Alligator mississippiensis: one gene and its partner. The protein of the gene in region 2 purifies or fractionates together with the protein of the main gene of each other region. This does not show direct contact. Links are inferred from orthologs where the notes say so. Each region holds a gene or a part of one and is shown on either strand. Other genes may lie near its edges.

Region 1 (7,668 bases), on a different chromosome or scaffold from region 2:
CTAAAATGCAACAGGACTATATGACTTAATAGGATTTATCACAGAATATCAAGGACAGCTTGACCTACTCCTTCACTACTTTTTTTTTTAGATTAGTCAACACAACGAAAAACTTTTGCATAACATCTGATGAAAGAATCCTCTGCCTGCAGCTAATTCCCAAACAATACGAGGTCAAACTAATCTCAAAATATCAGCTATGAGCTATTCTCCCAGTTTTACATGTGCTGCTTCTGAGGAACTTATTTCACATAGTGGAAAAGAGAAAAACCAATGTAAATATGAACGTTATTGCCTAAACATTCTGATTTATTATGAGGATCTTTGCCTTCCTTAGAAGCTGCAGGCATTGGTTCTGGCTATGGGCAGGAGACTAGGTCAGAAAGGCCAATGATCTAGTCTGGCTTGACTGTCTCTTCACCTTCTCAAGCAATTGCATTCATTTAACTAGCTAACAAGCTAAAAATACACAACAACTAAGTCTAAAGTTCAGAACAGAAACAGTGATTTAATCTGCCTTGAGATCAGCCATTAGCAATTGCTCAATGTGCAGTTTCACCTGAACATCCCATTTTCAGGACTAACACTGTGAGGGTCTGACCTTCGAAATATGGCTCTCTTGATCTGCATGGGTGATCCAGCAAAGTACAGAGCATGGTATAAATGTGTAACAGATTAACTAGTTACACAGACTAATAAAATGAAGGGCTGTATGGAAAAGGTCTTTGTTCTTCCTTTTCTGAGGAAGAAGTTCTGAAAAGAGCAAAACATTGCTTGTTGTACTACTGTACAACACAGAGGCTGTAGGAATTTTATAATATGCATTCCTTAGGCCTAGTCAACATTTAAAAAGAGATTTCACTATTGATATGCCAGGTAGAGGAATGATTTTTTAACCAAATGTAGCTATGCCAGTGTAAACCCTAGTATCAGGGGCAAATTAATTAGCTCCTATCTGGCCCTTGTTACCCAAGTGGAGCAATTCCCCCTAGATGGCCTCAAGTTACCTGCACGCTCACATTCCGGTCCCTTACAATTGCAGTTCTCTACTCTGTACTCCTTGGCTAGTAACACCAGTCTGGATCCTGGCTTCCTGATCTTAACTATGCCCCCTATAAGCCCCTTATTAGTGGCTTAACCTTGGTCCCTTTGCAGACTTCAAGCCCTCATCTGCCTGCTTCTGCTTCCCCTGAGTCTTGACTCTGGCCTGGACCTCATCTATTCCTGATTCCCTAGATTGTGACCCTCTAAAGCAGGATTTCTCAACAAGTGGGTTGCAAGAATATATATAAGGGCTGTGGACAAACTTTAAAAATGGATCAACAAACTTCAAAAATGGATTCTCTTTTAATGGAGAAAAACATGGAAAACCGTGGCTTTTCCCTTGCAGGCTGGCAGAGTTCCAGTCTCAAGGGATTCTTGGGGCTGCTTGGGGCTCCCCATGTCTCCAATGTGTGGGGAAAGGGGTGGATGTATGGAGGGCTGGGGCCTGGGGGCAGCAGGTCAGCAGTGAGGGGCACTGGGTTAGGACTGGCCATTGATGTTTACAAATGGGGCCTGGTACAAAAAAGGCTGAGAATCACTGCCCTAAAATAGTGGTTCTCAACCTGTTTAGAGTCAAGGCATGCCTCCTTGGACTTGAGGTACCCCTCCATAACTTTTGTCTACATCATGGTGCCTTTTGTGAATTGAGTGGTACATCATTTCAAAAAAATATTTATAACAGTGCTTACCCCCTTACAGAGCTGCCGCTTACCTGGAGGCCCAGCCACTGCCACGCTGCCAGTGGTGACTGCCTCTGCCTCCAAAACCTCCTGCTGTGCCCGGAGCTGTGGGCCGGCCGCCAGGTGTGGTGGTGGCCGGGTAGCACGCAGCCATCCCCACCACCACCCTGCGCTGCGCCACTGCCGCTGGCCCTACAGCTCTAAGCACAGCTCTGTGGCGGCAGCAGGAGGTTTTGGAAGCAGAGGCAGTCACCGCTGGCACGGTAACGCGATTTCACTATACACGATTTTCGCCTTTTGTGCTGCCTTTAGAACGTAACCCCCACGTAAAATGTGACATGCCTATAGTTACCTGTGTCAGTCTGAAGTCAAGTGGGAGGCAGAGTAGGGTTGCACCTTAGACTAAGCAAACTATATACACACACACATATATGTATAGCTAGCTAGCAGAAGCTTTTGTGAACTGAAGTTCACTTCATGAGGTGTCAGCATCCAACAAAGTAGATTTAGCTCACCAAAGCTTCTGCTGACAACCTGCTTTGAGATAAAGCATCTTGCCCTTGAAGCAAAGAGAGAGCAGAGGAAGGAAAGGAAGAGGAATCCCAGCCTATAGCCTAATCTCCCCCATAGAAAGACCTGCAAGCTTTTGAAGATGGATCCTAGCTCTAGGATTGGGCTCAAGGCACCTCAAGACCCAACAGTGAGCTGATGGAGGGACTGCAGAGGAGACACACACACACACACTTCCGTTGGTCTGCAGGTCCACATCTACCCTGCCTTCCACGATAGCCACAGCCCGACAGGATTCCCAAGGTGACCCGAGACTCCCAGCAGAGAAGCCCGTCGCCCGGGCTCCCCACACCCCCGTCTTCCCCAGAAGACCCGCCCCAGCATCTTTCCCAGTCCAAAGCCCAGCACGAGCCGAGAGCGGGCACTTCCCGCAAGGGGCCGCAGGCTGAAGGGGCAGCGCGGCTCGTCCGCGTCCCTGCGGCTCCCCCCCTCGGCGCCGCTCGTCCGCGCGGGCCCCTCCGCGGGCGCGTGGCTGCACCTCACCTCGGGCCCCGCTCCAGCCACGGGGCCCAGAAGCGCCCGCGCGGCTCCCCTGACCCGAGGGCTCGGGCACGTGGCAGGAGTAGGGGCAGGAGGAAGGCCAGGGCCTACGGACATGGCCTGATCGCTCAGCTGCCGCCAGTGCGAGCGGGCGAGGGCCCGGAGCGGGCAAAGGCCCCGCGCCAGGCCTGCCCGCATGCTCTGCTCTGCTCCGCTCCGCTCCCCACGGCCGGCCCGGCTCAGCCCCGCCCCACGCGGGCATTGGCTGCGGCGGGCTGCGGAACGGAGCCTATTTAAAGCCGGCTTTGGCGCCAGCACCTCCCTCAGCCCTTGACCCGGCGCGCGCACGAGCTCGCGCAGCCCGCCCAGCGCCCGCAGCCCGCGGTTCCGGATCCCGGCCCCGGCATGTCCGACAAGCTGCCCTACAAAGTCGGTGAGTGGGTTCTCGCTGCGCCCGGTAGGGCCTGCAGCGCGGCCGCCACGTGGGGAGCCGGACCCGGCTCTGCGCGGGGCTGGGCAACCTGCCCGGGGCAGCGGCTCCGCCTCCCCCTGCAGGAGCCCGGCGCCTCCCCCCGGCCTCAGTTGCGGGCTCCTCACGCGGCCGGGCCGGGCGGGTGCAGGGTCTGTAGCTCCGCGGGGAGCAGAGCAGAGCAGGGCTGGCCTGGCCTACTCCCTTGGGCGCACGGGGCCGGCTTCTGTCCCGGTGCTGTTTTTTGTACAGTCCCTGCACGGCTTTGCGGAGAGCGTCCCCTCCCCTAGCTGCTACGAGCGCTGCTTTACTTCAACCCCAGGAAGCGGGAGGAGATATCTGTAGGAAACTACTTGGGTCCCTCCGTTAGGACACATCCAAGCTGCTCCTATAGACTGCTTCCACCCGTTACATGAGCAGCCCGAAGTAGCCCCAAGACCTTCCTTTCTGCTCCACATCCCACTGCTGGTCCTATTTAAATAAGCCCTAGACAATGTTAACCTCCAGGGCTCAGTTCTCCTTAGTTGCTTTCATCCTTCCTGCAGCAATGGCCCCAAACAGTGGCAGGTGCCAGCTAGGAGGACAGCCGGCATGCTTGACTCGCTGATGGCTACAGGTGCAATCCAAACCTAGAGGATTGCCACTGAGCTCATCCTGTTGTGCCTGTTTTTGAACCATCAGTCTGTGACAGGCCTGGAAGCGACTTTGGGGGATAAACCTGAACAGGCCTCACTGACAAACTTTTAGCTCTGGAGGGTGTTGGTGGTCATGGTATGTTTGATGTGGCCTCTCCCAGACCTGCTGGCACCATGATGTATACAAGCCAATGAAGGCCTATTATGTACAAGCTATTGCTGACACCAAAGGGGTGGGCTTGGTTTAGGAATTATTGGGATCTTATAGGTCGGAAATGTTTTCTGTCTTGTGATCAGACTGTTTGACTGTAATTGCCATTACAGCCTGTGATTCCACATCATATTTATTGACTAGCCTTAACAGAATGCGTTGCAAAGTCACTGGTGTTGCAGTTTAAGTTATTCAAGCCCAGGGAGGGATGTACAGAGCTCCTGAAGAGCCTAACATAAGTGGCTTCTCAGGAGAATAACTGTCTTACAAAGTGGCAAGCGACATTATGGCATAGAAATAATGTAAAATAATGGGTTGGGCTAATGTAAAAGATGGGTTAATCTGCCTGTCATGGAGAAAGTGGTCTCCATAGGCAAGGCTGGAAACAAGTCCATTATGAAAAGTGTATCCTCCTCCTGTAGAACTTTGGATTTTGGAACTCTTGACCTCAGCTTTTACTACTTTTTCAACTAAAGGATTTTTTTGTTAACAAGCAGTAAATTAGTAATCTTTTTAGTTACAGGACTTAGGAAATGATCTTCTGGATTAAAGTTAGACTTTTGTTTGGCTGGGGGGAATCATTCACGGCAACTGATAGGCAAAGACTGGGTTGTTTTTAATTTGTGAAGTTGTTTTATAGACTGTGCCAGCATATTCTATGTATATGTGATGAGGCACTCAGAAGTCCTTACGTTCCGAAAATAAACCTGCATGCACAGTGATAGATGTAGGCATAAGAATTGCTATTTACTGGGTCAGACTATAGATCCATCTTGCACAGTATCCTGTCTCATGCAGCAGCAGAGTGGGTGCTGAAAAGGAGAGTGAATGGGGTACGACCAGGATTTTTTTTCTACTTCTTTCCCACTTGCAGACTCTAGCATTTAAGGTCTAGGAAGTTCCAATTCAGAGTCTATATCCATAACTGCCCTGCGCAATAGCAACTGTTGCCTCTTTACTCCAAGAATGTGTCCAATCCCTTTTTTGAATCTGGCTGAACCATCGGCTTCCACTATATCTGGTGGGAATGAGTTTCACATTTCAGTTGCATTTATAAATTGTAAGGCCTAAAGTAGTGACTCTTAACCAGAGTGCTGTGGCATTCTGGGGTGCCATTAGATTGGGGTGAAAAATTACTTTGGGTGGAGGGGTATGTATATATGGGAAGGTTGGGGGGGGGGTGGGCAGGGTGTGTGCCCCTTCTTTCCTCTCCCTCCCCAATGTGGCGCAGCCCTTGCTGGCAATGGTAGCAGCAGCAGGTGGCAGACCCTTGGGGTACTTGTAGCCCATGGAGGGGTGACTGCCAGGCGATGCATGACTCCAGTCAGTTCCAGGAGCTCTACATAGCAGAAAGGAGCAGTCAGGCCAGCCTGTTTCTATCTTGTGGGGCTTGCATGCAGCTCCCAGGACTGGTGCCACCACAAGGAAACCCTGCATGATGGAACCAGAGGTCTTCTGTGCTCCCTGCTGCCAAGTGGAGCTTATGGGACTCTGCCAGAAGTGGCAAGGAGCCACACTTCCTGCTTCCCAGCAGAGTCCAGTAAGCTGTATATGTTGGCAGGGAGTGGAGAAGGCAACCAGCTCCATCGTGTGGGGCTTCCTCCCCCAGTGGTGCACCAGTCCTGGGAGCTGCATGTGAGCCCTGCGTGATAGAGGCAGGTTGGCCTGTCTCTGTTCCTTGACACTATGTACAGCTCCTAGAACTGGCTGGAGCTGCGTGCTGCCTGGTTGCCATGCCTCCAGAACCTGGCATGTGTTGCTGTTGCGGGGGTTGTGCACCATGTGGGGAGGGAAGGGCATATGTGGGGGCTCACGTCCCACACCCTTCCCTCATTCCTCACAAGCCCCATACAGCCACATCCTGCCTACCCAAACTCCACACTCCTGCTGGGTGCAGGTGGGGCCTAGTCTCTATGTTCCCACCAGTTCCAGCCACATGCTTCACATTTCTGCCCAGCTACAGCTTTCCTACCTAGTGCCCAGAGCAAGTGCTATTGCCAGGACAGGAGGAGGAGGCTGGGGAAGCTGGGCAGGTCCCCTGGAAACTGTAGCAGTGGTCCCACCTAGAAGCTGTGTATGCTGGCCAGGGCCCTCCAGCACATGAGGGTAGGAGCAAAGCATGCAGCATAGGTAGGGTACAATTAATTGGTGGGTGCCTGTGGGCTGAATGAAATCACCTGGTAGGCCATATTTTGCCTGCCTCTGCACTAGATCCTTTCAGTGTTACAAGATGAGAGGAGATGAGGCTCAGGCTTGTCCCTACCTCCTGATTTCCCCCACCCCTACTACCTGTTCCCTGTGCAAGGAAGTAAGTACTGTCATGTATAAATTAGTTTTTTGAAATTGGGTGTCAGTCCTTTCACAGAAGTTATGGAGGGGTGCCTCAAGTCTGATGAAGGGTGCCTTGAGTTCAGAATGGGAAGAACTACTGCCCTAAGGTTAATTTTGTAAGTTAAAAAGAGCTCGGTACTTCTAAAAATTGGGCCACTTTCAGTTTGTCCCTAGATGGGATATTTGTTGCTTTCTGTACCTGCATTTGGAAATGCTGGCTTCAAAACTTAATAGAATTCTTCATAATGCAATGGGGGAAAAAATAGAAACCCTTCATGAGCTGAAGACATTTTGTTTCTCCCAGCTGTTGCATGGTGTCCAGCCTAATTTGTTTCACAGCAGTCGTAGCAAATGCCAAGCTAAAATGTATGCATGGTTTCATGTACTCAAGTCCAAACCACCTGTCCTGCTTCTGCTTGCAGCTGACATCAGCCTAGCAGAATGGGGTCGCAAGGCCATCGAGATTGCGGAGAATGAGATGCCAGGGCTGATGAAGATGCGGGAGATGTATGGAGCATCGAAACCATTGAAAGGAGCTCGGATTGCAGGTTGCCTTCACATGACTGTGCAGACTGCAGTTCTGATAGAGACCCTTGTGGTGCTGGGAGCAGAGGTAAAGCGCTATCTTCAGCAAATGATTGCACACCCTTATGAAGAGATTAGAATGCTAGTTGCCGACATATGGGTTGCATCTTCTGTTTCCTTTTGGATACTGGAGCTGTCCATTCAGAATCCATAAGTGCACTGAGTGAAATACAGGATTTGAACAGGCTGCATTCTGATCTAGGTGCTTGTTTCTGCCAGGAGGAGGTGCTCATGGTCTTGGTAACCCTTTTTTTGCCATATGATCTGTAGGTGCTTGTTTCTGCCAGGAGGAGGTGCTCATGGTCTCGGTAACCCTTTTTTGCCATATGAGCTGATATCTTATCAGCTTCAAGAATAATGCTAAAGGTTGCTCCTTGCCGAATGGCTTTATGCACTGACATGCAGTAGTAGTATCAGTCTGCTGGTATCACTTAACCTCAAGTGAATGGCTCCAAAACAGAATAGCATGGATTAAACATCATTCCAGGTCCCTCAAAAGTCAGCAAAGCAATTACTAAATCTGAGTATGGACTCTAGACTTCAAGCTGTGTCTGAAAACATTATAGGAAAAACAGGGTGGTGACTCTAGAAACAAGGGTGGAATTTCTCATGTGACCTTAGAGAGGTCAAATGACTTATCCACAGCTCCATTTTCCACCTGAA
Region 2 (7,911 bases):
GTATCATATGTTTTTATTAACAACCTTACACAACAGAGTTGTGCAAACCAAACCAATATTGAGAACTGAAAAAAAATATCTAGCATATGACAAAGAAGGCTTTGGTTATAAGTGCCACTGTCTACAGCAGAATTAAACTATTGTAAACCAAACAACTTACAGTAAAGGGAAAAATTCTGGAACATCAATCACAAGTTTAGGAATTTTTAAACAGCAAAACTCAAAAATATGTACATACAAACAATCAAACATTTTTATACATTTTAAACATGTCACTTGCTACACTCCTAGAAGTGTTTAGTTCACATACCTATACAACCAGAAAAAGCACTGAAACTTTGTGAACTAACCACTTGTCCACAGGTCCTGCCTAGACACTTTGTCATAATTATGGAAGCGTTTATATAAATAAGTCAATTAAATTCACAGAAGCTAAAAGAAACAATATAAAACTCCAGCTGTATATAAATCTGTACATTATAGTCAGTCTTGTTTTTTCAGAAATCTTGTGTATCTTCTTTAAAAAAAAATTGTTCTTTATTGTAAAATGTTGGCAATGAGACAGCGTTAGCTGGAATGGAAACTTGAAGACTCTGATTCTGTAGAAACAGAAGAATGTCCTGCACGTTTGCCTTTTGAAAGGATTTTTAGGCTCGATCCTCTGCTAACTGATGTCAAAGCATTCTGCGCTGATGTTTTGAATTTGGCACCCAGGAAGGCATAAAGAATTGGATTCAAGCAACAGTGGAAAAATGCTAGGGCTTCTGTAATGGAGATCCATTTGGTCACCATTGTCTCAAAACTGCACCGTGGTCTGAAGACCCCTAGCAAGATGAAGGTGTCAATGCTGATGCCAATGTAGTAAGGGAGCCAGCAAGCAAAGAAAGCAAGGATGAGAATGACAGTAGTCTTCAATGCTTTGCGCTTTTGGTGACCTTTTGAGTGTGACAGCTTAGAAATGATAATACAGTAGCAAATCAGGATTATTAGACCAGGCAGAACAAGTCCTACCAAGATATGTTGAAATCTGAAAGAAATCAGCCAGTTGTCATGAGGGTATATGCGGTCACAAAGGTACTTTTCTCCTACTTCAGTAGTTTTGGCAAAGATTAGATCAGGCACTGTCAAAAGCAGAGCTGGAAGCCACACACCTATATATACTACTTTTTCAGCGAGCAGCTTTCTTGGTCTTTGGCTATTGGTAGCATGGACTATAGCCAGGTAACGATCTAAGCTTATAAAGGCCAAAATCAGGACACTGCTGTAGAGGTTGACTGTGTAAATGACATGTATGGCCTTGCAAAGGAACTTCCCGAAGTACCAGCCTATGGCTGCATCCACAGACCAGAATGGCAACGTGATGACAAACAGGAGGTCGGCCACTGACAGGTGCAACCTGTACTTGTCGGTCATGCTTCTCATTTTCTTCTGGTAGCCCATGACAACGATAACCAATCCATTGCCAATGATTCCCGTCAGGAAGATGATGGAGTAGATGGTTGGCAAAAAGATCCGGTTGAAATCAGCATTTTCTTGCCAATAGCATGGCTCTTTAAGGTCAAGTTCACCTGAACCAACCTCATCGGTGCCATTATCAGGGAATTCAAAGGAGACCCCAGAAGACCACTGCAATAATAAAAGTAAAAAAAGAACAGCTGTTAGCTCCAGCTCATCCAAGACACTTCACAATACAGAGAAGCCAAGTAAAGCTTTGACCCCTAGGGGGATAGAAGAATGAATTAAGTGCCTGGGAAACAGTGATGGTGATGAAGGATAACTGCATTTCCCCACCATGTCATTCTATAGAGCAGTGGTTCTCAAACTTTTTTTTTTTCACAGAAAAAATTGCTGAGGGTCTCGGCGGACCACTTAAAACTTTTTTTTGTTCTACAAATCAAAGCACACAACTCCTATTTTAATACCTTACAAGCAAAGATATTCTCAATCGTCCCACAACCTTTGTGCGGACCACCTGAACGGACCTTGCGGACCAGCGGCCACAGACCACAGTCTGAGAACCTCTGCTCTACCGTTCAGTGCTGACAGTGGGCCCTCCCCCGTGAGAAACGGGAGAGACCTACTGGATCGCCCAAGTCCAGTAGGTCCCAGTTTTATCCTTTGACCCTAACTGACTTCCTGCCCCTGGGGCAGGGGGCTGGACTCGATGATCTTCCGAGGTCCCTTCCAGCCCTGACCTCTATGAAATCTATGAAATCCAGAGGTTCCCAAACATCACCCCCGCTTGCAGCTTCCCGGCACGCCCCAAAGCAGCATCTGTTTTACGTTTTCACCCCTTACATGCCACTGTTCTAACGAGAGTCAAGTCTCCTGCCTGCCCCACTGAGATGTGTCCGCCTAGACCATCTCCTACCACTTTCCCAAGGATGCCAGTCCAGGCAGTGGTTTCGCTTGCTCATTAGGTGCAGAAGTACGGGGAGCAAACCCGCTTGTGCCCGCTGCGGGCTGCATCTGTAGTGCTGGGAGCCCGGCAGGGAGGAGGGGAATCCCGGGCAGGAGGAGGAGGAGGGGATCCCTGCCTAGCAGCATAGGAGCCCGGGGGAGCCGGGCAGAAGCGTCCCGTGCAAACGGGTAGCGAAAGCAGCGCGGCGGGAAATCACCAACGCTCCGGACTCCCGGCGTGAAACTCCCGCCTCGCCCCCGGGCTCCGGCCACGTGCCGCCCCTGCTCCGGGCAGCGCCTGCATGCATGTTGTGGGGGAGGGAGTGGGGGTTCACCTCCGGGCAGCATCTGCCGGGGCCGGGCTGAGCCCCGTTGGCACCCGCGCCGTCTCCTCCCCGCCGGGAGCCGGGCTCCTGCCCTGCCTTGCCCGCGCCTCCCCGCCGGGGCTGCAGCCCGCCCGCCCGCCCGCCCGCCCGCTCACACGTGGCCCCTTGCCCAGCGCCGCGCTCACCCCGTCCAGCCCGTCCAGCTCCATGCTGCCGCCCCAGCGTCCTGCGGAGCACGCCCCGCGCCGCCCCGGCTCTTATCGTCTCCGCCGCACCCGGCCCGCCTGGCTCCTCCCCGCGGGGCCGGCCCTGCCCTGCCCCGCCGCCCCGCGCTGGGTGGGGCCGTGCCCGTCCCGGGGATGGCAGCCCATTGCAAAGTGAAGGGCGCGCGATTGAATTGAGCCCGGCTGGGCTGGGCTGGGTTGGGCCGGCCCGCGCGGGGCCGGGGGCACCTGCTGGCTGGGGAGCGGCCCGGACACCCCGAGCGAGAGAGAGGGGACATGAGTGAGCAGCGCGCTGCCCCTTCTCCGCCGGGGTCTCTCCTCCGCGAGGTCCCGTGCTTGTCGGCCGTGGAGCCGGCCTGCGCTCGGGACTCTGCGGCGGCACAGGGCGGGATGATGACTGAGCAGCTCGTGGGCTGAGAGGGGCAGGCAGGCAGGCAGACGGCAAGGGAAGGAAAGGAAAGGGAAAACAGAAAAGCAGCATCTGTGATCGGTGTTCACATTTCCATCGCCAGTGCAGCTGTGTGATTAAAACCTCTAAATACAAAGCATGGGCGACTGGTGCCTCCTGAGTTGGGAGGGGCACTTGCCCCCCCGCATCCAGTCGGCAACTAGGGGGGGTCCCCCCAATGGCTGATCACAACAAGTGCCAGGGGCGCTTTTCCTGGAGCCCCCACCCCCTCACCAGCGTGCTTAGGGGGACACTGCCCCCCCCCCCGCCTATCACCTAAGCGGGGTACGCTGGCTGTCGGGGTGCACCAGCACTCTTGGGGTGCACATGCACCCCTGTGCACCCTCTACACCACTGATACAAAGGCTTCCCACTGGCCGGGCACCTTTGGAGCAGCTCCTACTCCTGGTTCAAAGTTGAAAGCATTGACTGTGGGCCAGATTGAATGAAAAGTTCAGCACAAGCCACCAAAAAGTTGCCATTTCATTTGGGTGCCTCAGTACTGGAGCTCTATGGAAAATCTGGCTCTGAGTTGCCAGAAGTTAGGATGTTAACAGGTGTGTTTTGATGGAGAATGTGTTCTGGGAAAGACAGAGAAGGTCAGGTGTGGACTCCAGCTGCATACCTGGTACATCTACAGTATGTTTTGCTGCCTCTCCTGGGGCTGAAACTATGACCAACAGACTTGCAGACAAGCTGAAAAAAACCTTAGGGGTATCACAGATTTTAAGACTAGGTACAGAAGTTTGAGGGCCAGTGTACTAGTTAATAGGAAAGGCATACTGGATGTATTAGAGATGTATGGTTTGTCTACACAGAAAAATGAGGGTGTAGGCATGTGTGGATTGTCATATATGTACTAGATTGAATGTAGATAGCAAGAACAACAACAGCAATGCAGATGTGGGATTACAGACTCTAAAGCAGTGGTGGCTAGCCTGCGGCACAAGTGGTAGGCAGCAGATGGGCAGCTTCTTTGTGTGGTAGGGAACAGATGTGGGAGGAGACAGGCAGCACAACAGCAGGTAGAGCAGGAAGCAGAAGGTAAAGGCGGAGATCAGGCAGGGAGTACAGGTGGGAAACAGAAAGTAGACCAGGAGACTGGGTGGGGAGAACAGAGTATGGAGCGAAAAGCAGAGCAGCACATTGGGCAAAGGAGGGAGATTGGAGTGGCTTTTGGGGAGGTTATGGTGCTAGTTTGTGGTATGCAAAAAGATTGACCCCCACTGCTCTAGAGCATGTTGGTAGTGGGTTTATGATGTATTTGTATTGCTAACTTGAGCTGAAGCCCATTTTACCTCTGCTATTGTTCCCTTTGCTGGATTAAAGTGAGTTTACTCTGCTATTACTATTTCAGTTTACTACGGAGGTTTAGGGTCAGTGTGAGAAGTGGGAAGTGGTTTCTTGAAATAATTGAATGAATGACATTAAATTGCACTAGGACATATATACGAAGGTTGGGGTTGAGGGATGTCTTAGCTCCTGGAACTGTGGTTCTGAATTCTGATAGCATGCACAGATTATGCAGGACAGGGGTGCCCACTCTTTGGCCCACAGGTCAGATGCAGCCTGCAAACCCAGTGCATCTGGCATGCAGGGCCCCTAATGGGGCAGGAAATTTGGTGGCAGGGAAGCAGTGTCCATTAATACAGACATCCTCTCTTCACCAAATTCCCAAACTCCAAGCTCTGCATGGCTGGTTGCAGCCAGGCCTCACCCTTTCCCCTGCATCTGGACCAGGGGCTGAGTCACACCCCCTCCCAGCCACAGGCTAGGTTGATGCCAGGTTATGTGCACTTCCCTTCCTGCAGAGCTGGGATACATCCCCTTGCCCCTGTCCTGGGGCCAAGCCATGACCTCTTTTTCCCCTTAGGGCCAGATTGGGGCCATGACTCCCTCCATGGGGGCAAGCCACACCCGCTTTATCCCTATGGGGCCAAGCCATGTCCTCTTTCTCTGCAGGGCTGGGTTGCAGTTGGGTTGCTCCGCATCCCCCTCTGCATTGCTGGATGGTGCCCACCATGCTGGGCCCGGTGCCAGATTGAGAGCTGCGCAATCCAGCCCATCCAGCCAGCTGGGGAAAAAAGGTTGAGCACTACTGAAGTAGGATATTTGAAGATTGGCCAAATGGGATAGCACTGGAGTACAGACTCCCTGAATCCAGCATAAATCTAGATCAGTGATTCTCAACCAGGGTGCTGTGACATGCTGCGTACCTTGATACCCTTTCTAGGGTGTCACAGGGTGCCATGCAGTATTAGCACTGTTAGGTGGGCAAACAACTCGCACGATAAACCCATAGACATTTCAAATAGGAATCCATAATGTTGAAGACATTCTAACCTGTTGTGGTCTTTCTGAGTTCATTGCAACAGAAGAATTGCTCTATTATTTTCTTAAAAAAAACAGCGAAAACCAGGAGTTGGCATTTTTTTGAATGGTGCCTTGCATCTATTGAGGGGTACCTCTAGTCTAAAAGGGCTGAGAACCACTGATCTAGATGTGTTGTATCTATAGTTGCTTTTCTTTGCCCTACCAAAAATGCATGTGAAAACTTCTTTTGTTGTAAGGGGGACTGCAGTGTGAGGGTTAATGATTTCCAAAGTGATAAAAGAAGCATGTAATTCAATGAGTGAGCTACAAATCTTCAAGAGACAGTGCAAGCAAATAGCAATTTACAAGCTAATGTATTGCACTAAATGTTTTTCTGATGAGAAAATTACTGTGGAAATCAGGTCCCTCCCAACACAGTGTGCATTTGTTTCATAAAAACATGCAATTTGGGAAGTGAAATCCTACATATTCTTAAACTATAGTGCAAGCAACCAAGGTCCTCAGGTTGTGAATCATTAACATGGATTTTGTCTGCTAAAAAGAAATATCTATGTCTGTCAATGAAGAGTAAAATTGTTCCTGATATATTTAGTTGAAAAACTAGTTATAAAGCATGTTTCCAGAGAGCCAGAGTAGAAAAATAATTTATATTTAATTATTGTGTGGGTTACCTCATTTAAGGAGTTGAATGTGATCTTAGGGAAGCAAAGTTTCAGCTAATGAAATGCTGATTACACAGTTCTGTGGGTAGGGCACCTAGTACACGTGGGTGCTAATCCCTGATTTATGCTGTGTAGATACCACCACAATGCACACAAATAGTAATAGTCTGTATCATGCTATGTGAATTAACTGCTCCTCAGTTTGTAAGGTGCTACACTGCTGTCTTCACATATGTTTCTTAATATATAGGCAGAAGGCAGGGTAGAATTGCACTTTATAGACTAACTAAAGCAGAGATGTATAGCATAAGCCTCCATGAGACCCAGCTTTACTTTGTCATTTGCTAATTAATTCAAAGACTCATGCTATACATCTATGATTCAGTTAGTCTCTACTGTGCAAATCTACCCTTGCTTCTGCCTGACTTGAGACTAACACGGCTAACTACCTCTCTCTTCAGTATATATCCATACATATACATACACTATTAATCTGCCTAAATTACTATGCCATTTATTATAGATGCATTTTTAACTACTCACATAAGCATATACAAACCCAGTATATTTTAGGGTTTTATAAAATAGCCTTTGAGGTAGAAAAAATACATACTGGATTAAAAAAAAAGGCAGGAAATCTGCCCAGAATTATTGTTTATGTTTGGGAAGAAGTTTGGGGAAGAAAGGATAGTTTCTTATACAAAGGAGAGGGATCTGGTGTTAAGGAACAGGCTGGCTATTGTAATGGGGGCAGAGCAGGGCAGCGGGGCAGGAACATCCCTGATCTCACCTGCTCCAGTTAGGAGCAAATTTTCTCCCAAGTCAGTGCATGTTTAGACCCTTTCTCTGAGGGCAATTTACTTCTCCTTTTTAATATGCAGTAACTACTGTGGATGAATACCATGTGTAGATGTGCCCCCCATAATTCTTCCTATAGTTACTTGTTTGGGAGCTTAACAAACAAAACAACAGGAAATGCAGAGAAGGCAAAACATTTGTTTCAGTTGGGGTCGTATCATGTGCCATAATAATGACACTGTGCAAAGGCGTGTTGTTCAATTGTTTCTTATGGAGCAAATTAAAGTAAAAGCTTTAGCATCCTTAAAAGACAACAGAATATGACATTTATGGCGTAAGGGAGTACACCTAGTTGCTTCCTGCCTTTGAGAGGACTGAAATTGGCCCGGTGTGTGCATGATGGTAATTAATTTAGGTTTCCTTCAAGTATTCCTTGCCTGGACCTCCACTGGGTTAAGATCTTAATGGTCTGCCCAGAAAAGATGAGCCTAATAATAATACTCTTATTATTTAATCATAATCTAATAATACTCATATTATTTGTGCTCTAATCCCATCTCCATCTGTAGCCTAAAGCAAATCACTTAACCTCTCTGCTGTGTTCACTCAACTGTAAAATGTGGGTAAGAGTACTTACTTACCTGCCTCGGAGGAGTGTTGTAGGGACTAATTGTTTGATGTTTGGAAGGCCCTTTGAAGATGGAAAGTAGTTATTTTAG

The links. The genes of interacting proteins can lie anywhere in the genome.
Region 1: the proteins of CXCR4 (region 2) and ITCH purify together in Homo sapiens (affinity purification with western blotting; 5 studies listed by BioGRID and IntAct, with this or other methods). This does not show direct contact. The link is inferred for Alligator mississippiensis from reciprocal best matches to the Homo sapiens genes CXCR4 and ITCH.

What each region holds. Positions count from the first base shown.
Region 1 is NC_081832.1:24,365,666-24,373,333, forward strand, and holds the start of ITCH (E3 ubiquitin-protein ligase Itchy homolog), read right to left. Parts: upstream 3,008-7,668; 5' UTR 2,778-3,007; intron 1-2,777. Other genes in the region: AHCY (adenosylhomocysteinase), read left to right, coding at 3,180-3,207, 6,843-7,033. UniProt on the Homo sapiens protein: Acts as an Acts as an E3 ubiquitin-protein ligase which accepts ubiquitin from an E2 ubiquitin-conjugating enzyme in the form of a thioester and then directly transfers the ubiquitin to targeted substrates.
Region 2 is NC_081827.1:237,449,888-237,457,798, reverse strand, and holds the start of CXCR4 (C-X-C chemokine receptor type 4), read right to left. Parts: upstream 3,007-7,911; 5' UTR 2,936-3,006; coding exon 2,912-2,935; intron 1,627-2,911; coding exon 568-1,626; 3' UTR 1-567.